Linked DNA regions of Cricetulus griseus. The protein of the gene in region 2 interacts with the protein of the main gene of each other region in a pairwise test. Links are inferred from orthologs where the notes say so. Each region holds a gene or a part of one and is shown on either strand. Other genes may lie near its edges. The genes, in order: Dera and Aldh16a1.

Evidence for each region.
Region 1: the proteins of Aldh16a1 (region 2) and Dera interact in binary tests that used the Homo sapiens proteins (3 or more experiments, as listed by UniProt). The link is inferred for Cricetulus griseus from reciprocal best matches to the Homo sapiens genes ALDH16A1 and DERA.

The regions. Positions count from the first base shown.
Region 1 is NC_048601.1:11,196,423-11,205,396, forward strand, and holds part of Dera (deoxyribose-phosphate aldolase), read right to left. Parts: intron 6,422-8,974; coding exon 6,309-6,421; intron 2,741-6,308; coding exon 2,591-2,740; intron 2,367-2,590; coding exon 2,310-2,366; exon of another isoform or gene 2,275-2,309; intron 1-2,274. UniProt on the Homo sapiens protein: Catalyzes a reversible aldol reaction between acetaldehyde and D-glyceraldehyde 3-phosphate to generate 2-deoxy-D-ribose 5-phosphate. Participates in stress granule (SG) assembly.
Region 2 is NC_048599.1:154,027,866-154,036,593, forward strand, and holds the end of Aldh16a1 (aldehyde dehydrogenase family 16 member A1), read right to left. Parts: intron 8,668-8,728; coding exon 8,537-8,667; intron 8,128-8,536; coding exon 7,960-8,127; intron 7,815-7,959; coding exon 7,613-7,814; intron 5,191-7,612; coding exon 5,005-5,190; intron 4,764-5,004; coding exon 4,641-4,763; intron 3,740-4,640; coding exon 3,578-3,739; 3' UTR 3,455-3,577; downstream 1-3,454.

The DNA.
Region 1 (8,974 bases), on a different chromosome or scaffold from region 2:
TGTAATATGTAGATAAAGAATTGGATAAGAAGGCCCAGGAGTGCCTCAAGAAGAACCCCAAAGTCCTTGGAACAAACTGTCCCTCAAATGTGACATTACCTTTGGATCTACCACTCTCAACAGCTTCGTATGGATTCGAGAGATTCTCCAGCCTTAATCTCCTGCAGGCATCTGTAACTGTCCACAGAGGTCGGTTTCTATGGATGCCTCATATAAATTAAAATTGAAGATAATGATGCCTGTTCACTTGGTCAACCCCAAATGACCGGCTGGGTTTAATGGGAGGAAAAGAGAAACCCCACTGAAATTAGAATAGCTCCGAAGGTGATAGGATGCAATTATTTTTCCGTAATGTTTCTTCTCCAAAGGTGACTGGCCACTGTGCTGGCGAGCGCCAGGGCCAGCACATTATGAAGTTGGATAAGGCACTCAGAGCTAAGCACAAGCCAGGAGTCAGCATTTTGCTACAGTGCTGGGGAAAGCAGGGTTTCTTTTTCTGTTCTTATTTTAGTTGTTTCCTTTACAGTTAGTGAAGTGCTTTGAGGGAATTGCTTAATTGACTCCCGAGAGGCAAATTCTAATTTAGATCGGTACAAAGTGTTTTCTCTTTCTAGCCATAAAACATTTTCTTGGATTTGTTCTAATTATCCTTGGGGTGATGTGATCTTGGGTCTGAAAGCACGATTAAGTCACCTGCCCTCACCCCTTCCCTTCATAGAGGCAGACAGAGGTCGAAGGATGCACACAGACTGGACCAAAGTCCCAAGGTGAGACAGAGGCAGAGGCTGGGCTAAGACATCTGCAGGAGATGATGCAGGAGACTGACTCAGGCTGGTGCTTTTGCTCATGATTAACAGGAAAGGTATTCATGGGAGGGAAAGAGTGGAAGGAGGGAGAGAGGGAGGGAGGAAGGAGGGAGGGAGGGAGGGAGGGAGGGAGGGAGGGAGGAGAGGGAGGGAGGGAGGGGAGGGAGGGAGGGGAGGGAGGGAGGGAGGGAGGGAGGGAGAGAGGGAGGGAAGGAGGGAGGACTGATTGATTCTTGATGAAAAGGCCATTTTAAAAAGCTCAGGTTCTACAACATGGCAGAGGTGTCAGCAAGCAAGGACACTGGAAGGGGGAGGAGCCACAGAGCAAAGGAGAACACAAAGCATGAAGCCGGTCACATGTCACAGCTCTGCTCCTGTGTCCCTAGCTGCTTAAAGGTGACTCACAAAAGGGACCACAGACTGAGCAGCAAGCCTCACCTGGTTTGCTGATTATTTACTTGTTTTTGTAGTCCCAGGTATCAGGTCCAAGGCCTCTCTCACAGGCCACACAAGCACGCCATCCCTATGCCAGGGCTACTTTCTCCATCTTGGATTCATCTGTGCATTGCACACACACACACATACACACACACACACACACACACACACACACACACACACACACACACACACACACACACACGTGCAGGTCAATTCGTAAACGTGTGGGAAGCAGAGACCAGCCTTTGTCTGCCTGGATTTTGGGCAGAAGCCTGTAACTGCACAGTGAGTTGCACGGCCAGTGGTGGAGTTACAAACAGATGCCACCACACACCCAGCTTTTCCTTTCTTTTAATAATTTAAAGAGACTAAAACAACAACCGTCACCAAGTCAGGCAGGTGGTAGCCCCAGCATTTTCAAAGCTCCAGCCCAGAAGCCCCCGCCCAAAGTAGACAAAATAAATAAGCAGAGACTTTTGAATTTAAAAAGTCAGTGGTATTCACATTTTCTCATAACAACATCAGAATCTCATTAGCAAAACAATTACTGAAAGAGTCCTTGGTCCACCACAGAAATTCAGGTGAGAGCCAGGGAGGAGCTCCACGTTCTTGGGCTTTCCAGGAGCCGGCTTTCCCCTCCCACAATGCAGTTATTGAGAACTGAACTTGTGGTCAGGATTGGTAGCAAGCACCATCCTGGGCCAAGTCCTCTTGCCTGCCCTAGAATCTCATGTCTTGGGCCATTTAACTTCATTTCCCCCTCAGAATTTGCTGCAGTATGGGCTATTAGGAACACTTTATTTGGAGTTGTTTAGAGAAGACCTTCATAAAATTAATAATTGTAGACCTCCTAATAATTAAGAGCATTTCAGCCTCACTTGATCAGAGTTCCACATACAGATTCAAATTGATTTGTTTCTTTTGGTTTTTTTGAGTTAGTTTCAGGGGAGATTTTATTGGGGGAAAAGTCAGTTACCTATTCTTAAATTACATAACCTTGGCAATTATGCAAAAGATATTTTTTTACTTGTTGCAAGATGCTTTTCTGGGCTGGCTGCTGACCTAAGACATCGGAAGATCATGATAAGCTGCGTACCGTCCAGTCACGTGGTGGTATATCTAGGAGGAAGCCCAGTTTCATCCGTTAGTAATTACGCAGGCGTACACATAAGATAGTAGCCATCCTGCTGCCCATAGTAATTCCACTTGGCGCTGCGTTCGCAACCTCTTCAGCACAACTGGCACCTGACCTCTAGCAGGTGCGGGTCTGCTTGAAGGAGGTGGAGCCCTGGTTCTGCGGGGTCAACCTCCCCTCCTTCCAAGGACAAGGTCTCTCCACTCACCTGCCTCTCGATGTCTGAGAGCAGAGAACTGGCCCCTATCCGGAAGAGGTCAGGTGTCAGCCACTCATCCCCCAGCTCCTCCTTTATAAGAGAGAGCCATGCAAGGGACTCCTTTGCGGTGCGGATGCCTCCTGCAGGTTTAAAGCCTACCTGAGGGGGAGGAGAGAAGAGGAACCATCATTAGCAGGCTGATTTCAAAAGGGGCACCCTGAAGAAACAGGATTGAGTCACACTTTCCTTCTTAGTCTGTTTCACTTCGGCAAAGATACCTATATCAATAGAGCATTACCTGAAAATTCCAAGACCAATGGGGCCTGGGTTACTGCTTCTGAAGGGATAAGAACGAGGGGACATCTCACCTCATAAACTTCCACCATCTAGACTAAATGTGTACATCTGGAGAAGCCAAGGAAAGTGTCAATAAACAAGAAAATACACCACAGGTATTCATCCAGTCTACACTGCTTCCAATGAGCCTGCATCTTGAGGTGCAAGTCACTTTGTATTTAAGGCCAGATCAGTGTGGCCACAAGATCAACCTAATCAAACTGGCAGCTGTCAAGCAAGAGCTGACGGGTACTTTAATCGACCTAACTGCAGGCTTCTTTTCAGAGGCCATAGGTACAGGGTTCTACAAAGCAGGCAGACTGTTAATGTAAGCTTGGTAGAAGAACGCCATACTGTTTTTGAAAGTCTGTAGGGAGGGCCATAAAGCAGTCAGTCCCAGGTGGCTGAGAGGCCGAGAGCCACCTGGGACCCATGCTTTTCCAGAGGACTTGAGTTCACTGCTCGGCACTCACGTTGAGGGACTCTCACTCCAGGGGTTCCTGTGCCTTTTTCTGGCTTCCACAGGAACTCACACACACATGGTGCACACAAATACACAGACACGCACACATGCACGCAAGCATTCACAAATAAATCCTTAAAAAAAGACACAGTCCAAACAGCCAATAGATGCTGGTTGTTTCTACGTGATGTCTGATACCATCAGGAAAAGCCCAGGTTGCATGTGTAGAAAACCTCATGGCCTCTGGATTCACTTGTCTCAGGAATGTAACTATGCAGAGAGTAGATGAGTCTATACACACAAGCTGCCCAACCACTCTATGTGCAGCCCAAGGGCTCAGAGCTCTTTCAATAGATCACCCTGGCAGGACGCAGAAGGAGCCAATGAAAGAAAGGTCCCATTAGTCAGCGGGAAATCCCACTGTGAACACAGCCACTGCCATTGTGTTGGTACTTCGCAGCCACCCAGCCATTGCAGCATCACACTGGCGTGTTCCTGCCAAGCCTGCCTTCACATCCTAGGATATCCACATCCTACCTCTCTCTACCCTCAGTCCTTTCAGGGAAGAGTGTCATGAATGGTCTCCTAAGTGGGTTCCCTGCCTTCATCATACATGAGATAGCCAGCTCAGCAGGAGCATACTTGTAGCCACTGTTGCAGACTGGCAAACAGATAGACAAACGCAGTAGGTGAGCGACAGGAAGCACACACGGCCATGGGAGGGAGGAGTCTTCCTGCAAGTCAGGTGGGCAGTGTTCATAAAGATTTCCTAGACATAGAAGTCAGCGTCGGCAACTCCACCCCAAGAAGAAGTGCTTGTGCAAGTTAATACATTGCAAGCGAGAGAATATGGAAAACAAATCTGCAATGAAATCAGTTACAATATACAAAATCCCAGCTTCCTAGGGGTGGCACCAGGCATGGCCTGGAATGTGGGCTTTTGCATCGTATAACATGGCTCACATCAATGAAGGAGGAACCACAGTCTATGGCCTCCTGGGCTTGCCATCACCAACTTAAAGGCCATGCCCGGCTTGCAGTTGCATACCCAACCATACACAACAGGATGTGTCTTGCACTCGGCCTTTGCTTAACGATAAGTGGGCCATTTGGCTACTAGGTGGGGAAAGAACAGAACCATTAAGGATGCAAAGACAAGCAAAATGCATCTCCAAACTCCAGCCCGGACCATTGAGCACTTGTGTTCTCTGAGATCTGTTTTTTGCTGTCTGAGAGCTGTCTTAGGAGGGGACATATTTGTGTTTACACCCTAACACAGGTTAGCACGGCCCTCAGTCACCCACTTGGGAACTGTTTCTTTGGTTCCCAAAAGCATGCATTACCCCTAAAGGTGGAGTTCATGGAACATGGATGCCAAGGGACTCTTCCAGACCCATGGCTGTCAAGCCTGGGAGCCCAGGATTCTACATGCATGGCCAGCTGAGTATCTAATTTTGATGTTCTCAGGCTAACCCTTATCAAAAACCTGTGACTCAGTAGAATCAGTTTGCTAAACGACTTTAGGGATGAGTGGCATGGGCCTAAAGGAGGTGACAGCCACACTGAAAGAAGATGAGCTGCTGCTTACACAGCTTTTCTTTGAGAACAAAACAATGTTCCTTAAATTGTTGGATTTGTATCAGTGCAGAGAGACCAACGGTAACAATGTGTTTTCCCTACCTGTGCTTAACAATGTGAGCTCATTCAGAGAAAACTCCGGGAGGTTATTTCCTCTCACAAGGGGCATAGCCCATGTAAGTCTCCAATTCCAAAATAAATCTAAGCCATAGTCACTCGTGAAGCCATAAAGACATCCCATCCCGTAGACAAAGCATTAAAGGTCTTCTTGAGGGAGGAGATGGCAGAAAGTAAGATACTGGTTTTTAAAAGATGCCCCTCAGGGAGGGAAGTCTTATTATATCAGCGCCTTCGAACATGTGCGCGCACACATACACACCACACACACACACACACACACACACACACACACACACACACCTTTCCAGCTAGGCAAAAAAAAAAAAAAAAAAAAGTCCTTCTTAGATAATTTGTGACTAGACAAGCAACTTGAAATAGAAAATCCAAATCCAGTTTTTAAGAAACACTTCGTACGCATTTTCCCATTTAACTTTGTATGCTTCAAAAAATTCTGTGTTGCTCTTCGAAAAGCTGACAAAAGTTAGCATATACTCTCCTCAGCTCAACACTCTCCCAAACAGCACGGCCAACCACCATAAAACGTTAAAAAAAAATGGATATTTAATTCAAGAGCTATAGGACGGAGAGCTACCATTTCCCTGCTGTTTCGTGGTATTTCATTATTCTGTTTAATAAGTTCATCTCCTCGAGAATTTTCTCTTCACCTCATATTATTAAAAGTAATAAGTTTTTCTGGACCGGGGGTTTCCCAACAGAAAAACCAATTTATGTGTGTCCTTCAATAATGACAGGGAAAGATTACTTCCCATTATACTGCCTACTTTTCATATCACCACCACAGCTTATCATTCAATAAATGTTACTCTGAGATTCTTTCCATTCCATGAGGAAGTTAAATTTCTACATTAACCTGTTTTCACCGGCCAACGCCTCGCAAGAAGAAGCTCTGTGTCGCAGTACAATTAGTTCCTTAAAGAACCCATTTAGGAATCTCTTGTCAGTGCTAAAATTGTCTTGGGTTAATAAAAGGACAGAGTGAGTTTACATCTTGATCACACAGGCACACACTCACACTCACTGTTAATCACACACTTTCCCCCACCGAGGTATTCTTTTGTAATGAAAGGTAAATTAAACATTTATCTTAATAAAGGCGACTCATTCACACCTTCTGCACAGGGAGACGTTATCGTTATCCTGCGGACTGTGAGGAGGGTTATAAATAGCATTCTCTTCACTTTGAAGGGAGATTTGCTGGCAATACCGTACCTTGTTTCCAGTTTTCCAGAAGAAATCTCTAATGGCCCGTAGCATTACGATCGCTACTGGGAAGGTGGCATTTACCGTTTCTTTTCCAGTAGAAGTCTTAATAAAATCTGATCCTAAAACAAAAGCAAGAAAAACTCCCAGGTTAATTAAAAACTTACTTTTATACTTAAGTCATTGAAAGAAGTGAATTATGTGCAAACCTCCCCCAACCCCCATCTCCCTAAGGACAACTTTACTTTTTGGTAATTATGTGAAAAAACTAAAATGAAAATCTACCTTTAAAATATTTCTGTTTATATAAGAGCCAGAAGAAAGGGAGAAGGGCTGAAAATTGCCATCTTCTGGGCACAACACAGTCACTGCAATCACGTCCCACAGAAGCAGAGGCTGTCACTACCAGGCCTGTACAAGACTGAGCCCATCATTCATCAATCACGGATGGGGATGTACCCCTCCCTGTTGAACTTCTTGCTACTGGGGGGTTCTGGGGAAGGACAGTCATTGTTTTGGGTTGATTACCCATGGCTAAGCCTACCAGGCTCCAAGGGACAGTTCTAAACCCATAGTTGCTTGGCCCTGCTTAAAATCTGTGGGTCACAAAACCAAACACAAAGACACAATGTAGGAAAGGGGTGACAGGAAGTGCAGATGGTTGGGGGGGGGGTGTCAGGAGCGGGAAATAGAAGGGAGGGTGGGGTATAAGGAAGAGTAGGGGGGAGTAATCAGAACGCATCACCCACGTATGAAATGAAAATGAAAATAATCTCTTAGAATTTTATCTTTCTTCACCATCAGATAAATTAAATTAGACAGTCAATGGATTCTCATAGACTCTGGTATTCTTGTCTCCATATTTCACAGCCAATTAAAATCAAGTTGGTTTGTTTAATGCATAACTGAGATGAATAAAAACAATTTTATGCCCTATGCTCACTACCATGTATCTTTCCCACAGAACTGTGGAGTGCCTACTCATTTCCCCTCCTTCTCTCACACTCAGTGGAAAGAAAGCCCATGGCCCAGTTGTGACAACCCCAGAACTGTTACAGGCTGGTATTTAGTGAAGTAGTAGGCCTCCCAACAGACGAGACTTCATGAAAGATGCTGTACTGTTGACAGTTTGCAGATGTTTTCTTCCTTCTCTTGGATCTTGAGCCTGTTTCCTTAACTTATTAGAGCAACACAGGGAGATAAAAGGTAACAATGGCAGGGAGGGACTAGCACCTCGTGCTTCATGGGCGTCGGCACAGTCAGTCCCTACCACTATTACCAAGTACTGACACGAGCACTTTCTTCAAAGAGGACACTGAGGCACCGAAAAGTTACGTAGCTTTCTTGAAGTTGCATGGTACCGTGTCCCCCCACCCATGTGATCCTGTGAAGAGAGGACGAGTTCCGCTGGTGTCCTCGATGAGTCTTTATAAAATAGATAGATTAATGGCTACGGTTGATAATTAAGACTTGAGCTAGCAAATGAGAAATCCTAGTCATTGGCCAGCAGCATTGCAGTTAATGTAAGACTCTGTGTGTTATTTTGGGGCCCTATCGTGGTGGCGGAACTCAGGCAGCTGGCAGAAAGAGTTATCATTACAATGCTGTATGTGGCATCACATCCCCATGGTTTTAAAAACTGGAGTGTGAGCTTTGAGTGCTTTCACCATGAAGTAATGACAAATGACTGAAAACACAGTCACAGGGATTTGACTATTACCCAAGGATTATACGTACTGAGACATCACATGCTCACCCCATTAATATGGTCATTTTTTTTATCAGTTTAAATGGATATTTTTGAATGAAAGGAAGTCCATGTTCTGTGTCCCCACAACAGGTGGACTGACTCAGACTTTAACAAACATGCACGAGGTTGTCAGGCACACTTAGGTACAAATTCACAGTTCCCATACAAACAATCTGGGGCACAATGCTTAAAGTTAATTTGAGTCTCTCAGAATCTCTCAAGGAAATGTGCGACAAAACATGAAGGAAGTAACAACCGAAAAGATACTATTCTGTGTACTGAAAGGCTCAAGTAGACACACGCTGTCATGACGCACACCGTGAAGGCTCAAGTACATATATCTTCATGACACCATACCATGAAGGCACTGCATGGGTAATAAAAACACAGCAAATCTACATCCTTGCCTTCCAAACCACAGCAACCCTAGAGGAATCACACGAAGGGTTAGGAGAGGCCTGATGTCTGGCTCTGGCTCTCATGGTAGCCATGCACATTCAATCTTCCTCTAAAGGGGTCCAAAAAAATTATGGAGGCATCAAAAGAGGAAATCTGTGTGAAAACACCTAAATCCCTCAAGGATTATACAAGCACAGATGGAGCAGAGGTCTAGGTAGGACCTCTGTGGAAGAGTTTGGGGATGTGGCCGACAAAAGCCCACAACGCTCTCAGTGCCAGAAATCATTGCTGTTCTGAAGGGAGTTCAGAAAACCAATGCTGAGAAAAATGCAAACAGGAAAGCATGCTCATGGGGTTTCCCAGGGTCATAAAGGCTTCTGGAAATCATGTCCTTCATGAAAGCCCAAGGAAGACTGGATTCCAAAATCGTTGCCTGTTGTTTTTGGTGGAAGAAATTTTGAGACAGAATGACATGCAGAGTGTAGCACGGCCATTGTTCACTGTATTTACTCAGATTTACAGGGAG
Region 2 (8,728 bases):
AAGGTTCCTCCTGGGTGAAGCTCAAAAGGCTTGAGAATGGCTGTGCGGGAAGTGGGCCTGTGTTGTGACTGTGTCTCCTTCATGTTTTCATGTGTTGGAAACTTAACCCCCACAGTCACATTGTTGGTATCTCCAGCTGGAGCTTTAATGGAGTAATAATTGGGCTGGGCAGGAGGATCACAGTAAGTCCTGGAACAGCTTGGGCTACACAGTAAGTTCCAATTCAGCCAGGGTTAGTCAAACTTACTCTTTTTTCAGAGTCTTATTATGTATACTATGTAGCCCTAGCCTGGAACAAGATATAGACAAGGCTGCCCTCAAATTCAAGGAGACCCTCCTACCCTGCCTCTGGCATTAGTGTGTGCTACCACCCCCAGCAAGACTGTCTCAAAAACTTTTATTATTATTATTATTATTATTTTGGTTTTTCAAGACAGGGTTTCTCTGTGTAGCTTTGGAGCCTATCCTGGAACTCGCTCTGGAGACCAGGCTGGCCTCGAACTCAGAGATTCGCCTGCCTCTGCCTCCCGAGTGCTGGAATTAAAGGCGTGCACCACCAACGCCCGGCTCAAAAACTTTTAAAACATGGGACTGATTTAAAAAAGTACTTACTGCTGGGTGTTGGTGGCGCACACCTTTAATCCCTGCACTCAGGAGGCAGAGGCAGGTGGATCTCTATGAGTTTGAGACCAGCCTGGTCTACAAGAGCTAGTTACAGGACAGCCTCCAAAGCCACAGAGAAACCCTGTCTCGAAAAAAGAAAAAAACAAAAAACAAAAAGTACTTACTACTACACAGGGCCTGAGTTCAGTTCCCAGGGGTCATGGTGGGTGCAGCTCCCTGGTACCTAATAACCTCCTTCTGGCCTCATGTGCCCATACCCCTTACATAATAAAAATAAAGAACATACTGTGCTGCCTTGTTTTTGTTGTTTTAAGACAGGGTTTCTCTTTGTAGCCCTCACTGTCCTGGTCACTCTGCAGACCAGACTGTCCTCGAACTCAGAGCTCCCCTGCCTCTGCCTTTGCCTCCCAAGTGCTAGGATTAAAGGTGTGGGCCACCACTGCCCGACTTGTGCTGGATAGTTTTATGTCAACTTGACAAGCTATAGCCATCCGAGGGGAGGAAAACTCAGTTGTCAAATTGCCTTCATTAAGATCTGGCTGCAGCAAGCCTGTAGGGTATTTTCTTAACTAGTGACACCGGAACGCACAGTCCATGGTGAGTGGTGCCAACCCTGGTGGCCATGGGTGCTATAAGAAAGCAGGCTGAACAGAAAAACCCTGTCTCGAAAAACCAAAATAAAAAAAAAAGAAAAAAAGAAAAGAAAAAGAAAAAGAAAGCAGGCTGAGCAAGACTTGAGGAACAAGAGAGTAAGCACTCCACCATGGCCCCTGTATCAGCTTCCAACCCCTGCCCTGCTTCAAGGTTTGAGTTCCCGCCTTGGTTTTCTTCAGTGAACTGTGATTTGAAATGTGCAAATAAACTCTTTTCTCCCCAAGCTGCTTTTTGGCATGGTGTTACATCACAGCAACAGTAGCCTTAATTAAGACACAGGGTCGAAAGGCGGGCGGGGCGGGGCGGGCGGGGCGGGGCGGGGGCGGCGGCGGTGAGGCTTTGTTGTTAAGAGCATTCTAAAAAGCTGTCATGCAGCTGGGCGTTGGTGGCACACGCCTTTAATCCCAGCACTCGGGAGGCAGAGGCAGGTGGATCTCTGTGAGTTCGAGGCCAGCCTGGTCTCCAGAGCGAGTGCCAGGATAGGCTCCAAAGCTACACAGAGAAACCCTGTCTCAAAAAACCAAAAATGAAAAAAAAAAGCTGTCATGCTACAAGGTATCCTCGATCCCATTATTATGCCAGGAAGGCCTTACAGATGCCAACCAGATGGGGCCCCTCCTAGCTTCCACAGCCTTGTGCTGAAACCTTTATTCTTGGCAAGTGACAGTCTATGATAATCAGTTACAGCCACAGAAAATAGACCAAGAAAAAGTTGTGCCTAATGGCTCATGCTTGTCATCCCATTGGCAGAAGATCAGGAGTTCAAGGTCATCTTTGGTGCCAAAGGAAGTTCTAGTCCAACCTGGGATATATATAGTCTCAAAATCAAACAACCAGACAAACCCCCAACAAACAGAGCACCACCACCAAACTGCAACATACAAGAAAATAGGTTAAGACAGCCTCCATCAGCCCAATTCCCCAGGCAACAGCAACTTTGATGAGCACACACACACACACACACACACAGAGAGAGAGAGAGAGAGAGAGAGAGAGAGAGAGAGAGAGAGAGAGAGAGAGAGAGAGAGAGAACATGCAATGAGTCACCCAGACATAGGTTTACTGCAACAACACTAGGCCACTGCTGGGCGTTGGTGGTGCACATGCCTTTAATCCTAGCACTTGGGAGGCAGAGGCAGGAGGATCTCTGTGAGTTTGAGGCCAGCCTGGTCTACAGAGTGAATTCTAGGATAGCCTCCAAAGCTACAGAGAAACCCTGTCTCAAAAAAACAAAAAAACCAAACCAAAAAGCTAGGCCACCTGACTGCTCTCCTACCCACTTCTCTTCCCTGTGGGCAGCCATCGTGTTTAGCCTCTCTGAGTCTGTGTGGCTGTTCACTGTCTTGTTTTGTGATCTTACCTGGTGAAAGGCTTGGTAGACAAGATTAATGTTGGGCATGCCCACACATACACAATCCCAGCACAAGGCAAATGTAGGAGGATCATAAGATTCCAGACCAGGGGCTGCTGAAATGGCCCAGCTGATAAAATACAGGTCACGACTGCCAAGCAGGACACCTGCATTTGATCCCATGGACCAACATGGTGGTGGAGAGAACCGACTCCGTAAGTTGTTTACTGTTTACCCTCTCTCTTATTCACACATGCACGTGCTTGGAGTTCTAGGTCAGGCCTGGAGGCAATTGTCTGTAACCTCATGCTGAGGCAGGGGGATTGGATGGACAGATCAGCTGAGCTACTCCTTACTCCTTGATACTTTGCTGAAAATGATCAAAGGGGGGAAAACAAACAAACACCCCCCCCAAACCTAAAAACCAAATTAAAGCTAAATCTGCTGAGAGGGGATCTGCTGTGCAAGCAAACACCTGGTCACAGTTTGGGCTCCTCCTTAGGAAGTCAGATCTTGCCTGGCAGCTGTGCCCTCAGTACTTGTCCCAATAGTGGTGGCCCCTGGCTCTGGCTGGCATCTCATTCCTCTTGGGGATGTGCTGGGATACAGACCTTCCAGTTCAGAAAGAGGACTTATGGGAAGGAGGTGGCCCTGCAGCCCACTCAACTCTGGAATCAAGCATAAAGGGTACAGAGCCTTCCAGGGACTTCCCTCTAACTCCTAATGACCCCGGAGTGCTGGGTGGGGGTGAGTGCCCTTTAACCATCCCATAAACACAGTGTTGTTCCACAGTTGCCTACTGGGCCACACATGAAGAAGCCACTGTTTGGGAATCCTCAAAAGCAGTAAAAGTCACTCAGTTTATTGGAAACCATGGGAAATCTGAGAGAAAAATTCCAAACATCTGGTATCTCTGGGCACCCAAGATGGAGTGGACAGCTTCAGGCATCAGTCCCCCATTGGGAGCCACAGGGCCTTGGTTCGTGCTGCATGCAGACTCAGCTCTGGTCCTTCCCCCTGGACCTCTTCATCCCAGGCCCTTGGGAAGCCCCTGTTTACCCACACAGACTTGAGGTTTCCTGCAGAGGCCCATTCCACAAACTGGGAGCCCTGGGATGGGAGACAAGTGATTAGTACTGCCAGCGTTTAGTTGCTGAATAGCTGCTTCCTTAGCAATGAGGACTTGGAGAAACCTAAAGGCCTGATAAGGCTGGATATTTGGGTCCTGGCCAATATTCCTTCCAGATGCAGAGGAAGCAGACCCAGGGAATCCCCATCTTTCCCAGTGCTCATGTTCAAGGATCTCGCCAATGGGGCATCCCATCTGCCAACAGGTGGCTTAGGAGGGTAGACCTGGAGTTTGGAATGTTGTTATGGTTTAGTCCCTTAACAATAGGTCTTCCAAAAAGATGATGTCTTTGGGCAGGGGAGGCATTTAGGTCCTTATTATGAAGAATACCCTCTTCCATAAGGTAGCGGTGGCGCACACCTTTAATCCCAGCACTTGGGAGGCAGAGGCAGGTGGATCTGAGTTTAAGACCAGCCTGGTCTACAGAGTGAATTCTAGGATAGCCAGGGCTACACAGAGAAACCATCTTGAAAAAAAAAAAAAAAAAAAAAAAAAAAAAAAAAAAGACCCTCTGGTGACGGGACTTTTACCAGGAGAGGATCTCGGAAGTTGTGGCCAATGAATTTCTTCCTCTTAGCAACAGGGGTCTCCAGGGGATGAAGCCAAAAGACTGTTGGTTAAGACTCTGAATTACGGGGCTGGAGAGATGGCTCAGAGGTTAAGAGCACTGATTGCTTTTCCAGAGGTCCTGAGTTCAATTCCCAGCAACCACATGGTGGCTCATAACCATCTATAATGAGATCTACAGTGCCCTCTTCTGGTCTGCAAGCATACATGCAGACAGAACACCGTATACATAGTAAATAAATCTTAAAAAAATAAAAAAAATAAGGTCAACACTGCATAAAAAAAAAAAAAAAAAAAAAAAAGACTCTGAATTACCTGGGCAGACCCGAAGTACCACAGGGCCTGAATGTCCTGATGTAAGGCCAGGCAGCGGGTCAGGTGGTCCCGATCTCCTGTCACTACGTTCACCAGACCAGCAGGGAACAGGGTGGCTATATCCTAGGACGTGAGAGAGTAGGACACTCAGGGTTGAACAGCAATGAGGGAGGGCAGGGTGAGGACTGAGGACTGGGCATCTGGGAATGGCTGTAGGGGCTCCCAGAAGGAATAGGACCTGGGTGATAGACTTGGATGGGATGCTGGGACTCAAGTTGCCATGGCTACTAGGAGGGAAGAGGCCAGCTGAATTCCTGAAGACCTAGAAGCAGCAGCAGGCAGGAGGGAAGGCAGGGGATTTTACCTGACAGACCTCCAGGGCTGGCAGAGGACAGGCCCCACTAGGTACTAAGACCACAGCATTGCCATGGGCCAGGGCAGGAGCCAGCAGTGACACAAAGGCCAGCAGGGGCCACTCATCCGGGCACACCACAGCCAGCACTCCAAGTGGCTCTCGAAGCCGGAGCACAGGTCCTCTCAACCCTGTTACCTACAGGGACAGATGACACATCAAGAGCAAGTTCTCAGAGCCTGCCCCATCTTCCCCATCTGACATGTTCATATCTCCAGAACAACTCCAATAAAGTGGGACTGGGGGACACTGGTTCAGGGAACAAAGGCCTGCAGCCCAATGGCCACTCATTGGCTATGTGGGTCTGCACTAGTTAAACCTCTGCCTGTATGTATTGCCTTGAATCTGCCATGCCCCTGCCTCAGCCTATGGAGTAGCTAGGATTTTGGGTCTGTGCCATCACTGTTTTGTGGTACTGTAGAGGGCTCAAAGCATGCTAGAGATAGGCAAGTGTTCTACCACTGAAGTGAACTCCAACCCTTGTTTTCTGTTTTGTCGTGAGACAGGGTCTCCCTATGTAGATCAGGCTGGCAGACTCAGAGATCTGCATGCCTCTGTGTCCTTCGTGCTGGGATTAAAGGCATGCACCACCACCCAGCTTGATTTATAGATTGTATATTTATTGAACTATCTTTGTTTTTTTCTTTTCTTTCTTTCTTTCTTTCTTTCTTTCTTTCTTTCTTTCTTTTTCTTTTTTCTTTTTTTCTTTTTTTTTTTGGTTTTTCGAGACAGGGTTTCTCTGTACAGCTTTGGAGCCTATCCTGACACTCGCTCTGGAGACCAGGCTGGCCTCGAACTCACAGAGATCCGTCTGCCTCTGCCTCCTGTGTGCTGGGACTAAAGGCGTGCACCACCAACGCCCAGCCTATTTTTGTTTTTTTTTTTTTTTGAGACAGGGTTTCTCTAAATAGCCCTGGCTGTCTTGGAACTTGCTTTGTAGACCAGGCTGGCCTTGAACTGAGACATCTGTCTGCCTCTGCCTCCCGAGTGCTAGGACTTAAGGAGTGTGCTACCACACCCTGCTGGATTTATTTAATTATGTGTCTATGTGTGCATGTTGGGGGTATGTGGTCATGTGCACTTGTGGGTGCTAAAAGGGGTCACAAGGTTACCCTGGAGTTATGTAGAGTCACAAGAAGTTGTGAGCACCCTGATTTGGGTGCTGAAATCAATCCCATCCTCTGCAAGAACAGAAAGTGCTCTTAACTGTGCCCTCTGCCCCGGCCTTGGTGTTTTGAAAAAGGATTTCACTATGTAGCCAAGGCTGACACTGAACTTGAACTTTTGATTTTTCTGCCTCTATTTCTGAAAGGTTCAGGCAGATACCCAGGCAGCTCAAAGGGCCTTGTGCTGCGTGGCCACATCTCACCCGTTACAAGGCTGTGTAGGGACTCTGCGCATGCACGAGCTCCCCTTTTAAGCCTGCGCCCACATCCCTCTGCTCTCTTCTGTTTCCAGTGGTCAACCACTAATTCTTCTCTCTTACTCTCTGCTCTGCTCTGTTCTTCCATTTCTCTTTCTCCCCCTCTCGCTCTCCCACCCTGTAATAAACTGGTTAATGTGCTCTCTATAGTTCGTGTTCCATCGCAATTACCCCATCTCTAATTTTTAAACTTTTACAAAATCACAACAATTTCCACATGCTGAGATTTTAGGCCTGCTCTACCATGTGTGTTTACAAAAGCCTTCTTGAATATAATCAAGCCTACATTACATAGACTTTAAATGAACTGGGCAGTAGGTAATGGCACACACCTTTAATCCCAGCACTTGGGGAGGCAGAGACAGGCAGATCTGTATGAGTTCCAGGACAGCCTGATCTACAGACTGAGTTCCAGGACAGCCTCCAAAGCTACAGAGAAACCCTGTCTCGAAAAAAAAAAAAAACCCAAACCAAACTAAACAAAAAACCACAGACTTATGACAGACTTTGAAGACCCCCTATGGAAGGCTTCACCCTCCCTGGGGAGCAGAAAGGGTATGGGATAGGCAGGGTGTTATTTGGGGGGGGGGGGAAGACAGGGGAGGAGGGGAGGGAGAGGGACCTGGGATTGACATGTAAAAACAATTTTCTAATAAAAAAAAGGAAAAACAGGCCAGGCATTGGTGGCACACGCCTTTAATCCCAGCACTTGGGAGGCAGAGGCAGGTGGATCTTTGTGAGTTTGAGGCCAGCCTGGTCTACAAGAGCTAGTTCCAGGACAGCCTCCAAAGCCACAGAGAAACCCTGTCTCGAAAAACCAAAAAAAAAAAAAAAAAAAAAAAAAAAAAAAAAAAAAAAAGGGAAAAACAACAATAACAACAAAACATAGACTTTAAATGGCACTCCTGGGAGGTTCTGATGTGTGTATACTCATGAACACCTGCTATCCTTCCTGTAAGTGTGACCTTCCCTCCTGACTGGTCTGAGCCCTCCAGTCTTTTCTCTCATCAGGGTTAGTTGTACTTTCTAGAATTCCTGGGGCTGAGCCTAGACACATGCCTGGCTCACTGGAGCCTAGGCTCTAACTCTTGTCTGGCTGCCTGCCCTGCCCTGCCTACCTGCTTAGAGGTGTCTCACCTGCAGTGTCTGGCCTTGGTCTTGAACCTTGGTGCCCCAAATCTGGAGCCGCCTCACACTCAGCTCTACTTCAGTCTTGGCAACCATAGGGGCTATTCCGTGGCTCTCTAGTTGTGAGGCCAGAGCTGGCTTCCTACGCTCCACTGCAGCTGCCAGGGCCCACAGCAGGCGTGCTCGGGCCCCTGGAGACTGGGCCCCCCAGCTGTGGGCAAATAATGTAAGTTAGGGGAGGGGTATAGCCTGGCCCTAGTTATTCCCAGATAGCCAACTCTGTCCACAGCCCCAATCTAGGGCTCCAATCCCAAGTTTACTCCCTTCCCAGCCACCCTTCCATTTGACCCTCTTACCCAGGGGCAGCCTGATGAGCAGTCTCTACAGCACCTCGGATATCCTTGGCTCCACCCTCAGCAACATAGCTGTGAAGTTTGCCTGAAGAATCCTGAATGGGCCTGGAGGTTCGGGACCCAGGAGCCTGGAAACGGCCCCCAACAAACAGCCCATAGGGGGGTACTGGGCTGCACAGAGTGAGGTGTGAGGAGGTACTGGGCCCACTCAGGCCCCATGCTCCACTATACTGGTGGTACCATGGACCATCTCAGTTCCCATGAACCTTTTGGACTCAAATTTTTATTCTCATGAGCTTCTTGAAGGATCCAAACACCTGCTCCCATGAGCCTCTACAGGATTCTGAATTCCTATCCCAAGAGCTTCTGTGGACATTCAAATTCTTGTTCCCATGTGCATATATTTAGATACCCCCTGGATTCTTGCTTCTGGGAAAACTCAAACTGCTAAGTAGAACTGAGAGTCTCCAGACCTGGGGTTAGGGCCACGAGACCCTAAGACCCGAAAGCTACACTCTGGCGTGTCCCCCTCCAGACTCCTCAACCTCACCCTTAGACTACCAGGCCTACAACTGCTCACCTGAGCCCTGTTTCTGGCCCTGACACCAGGCTGGAGGGCACGGCAAGGCCAAACGTGTCATAGTTGAGACTCTCGCAAAGGGCAGGCTCCCAGGAAGGTGTCCCCGAGGGCCAAAGGTATTCATACAGACCCTGTGAGAAATGCACAGTCACAAGGAGGCCTGATGAACTCAAAGTAACTCAGGGGTGCTGG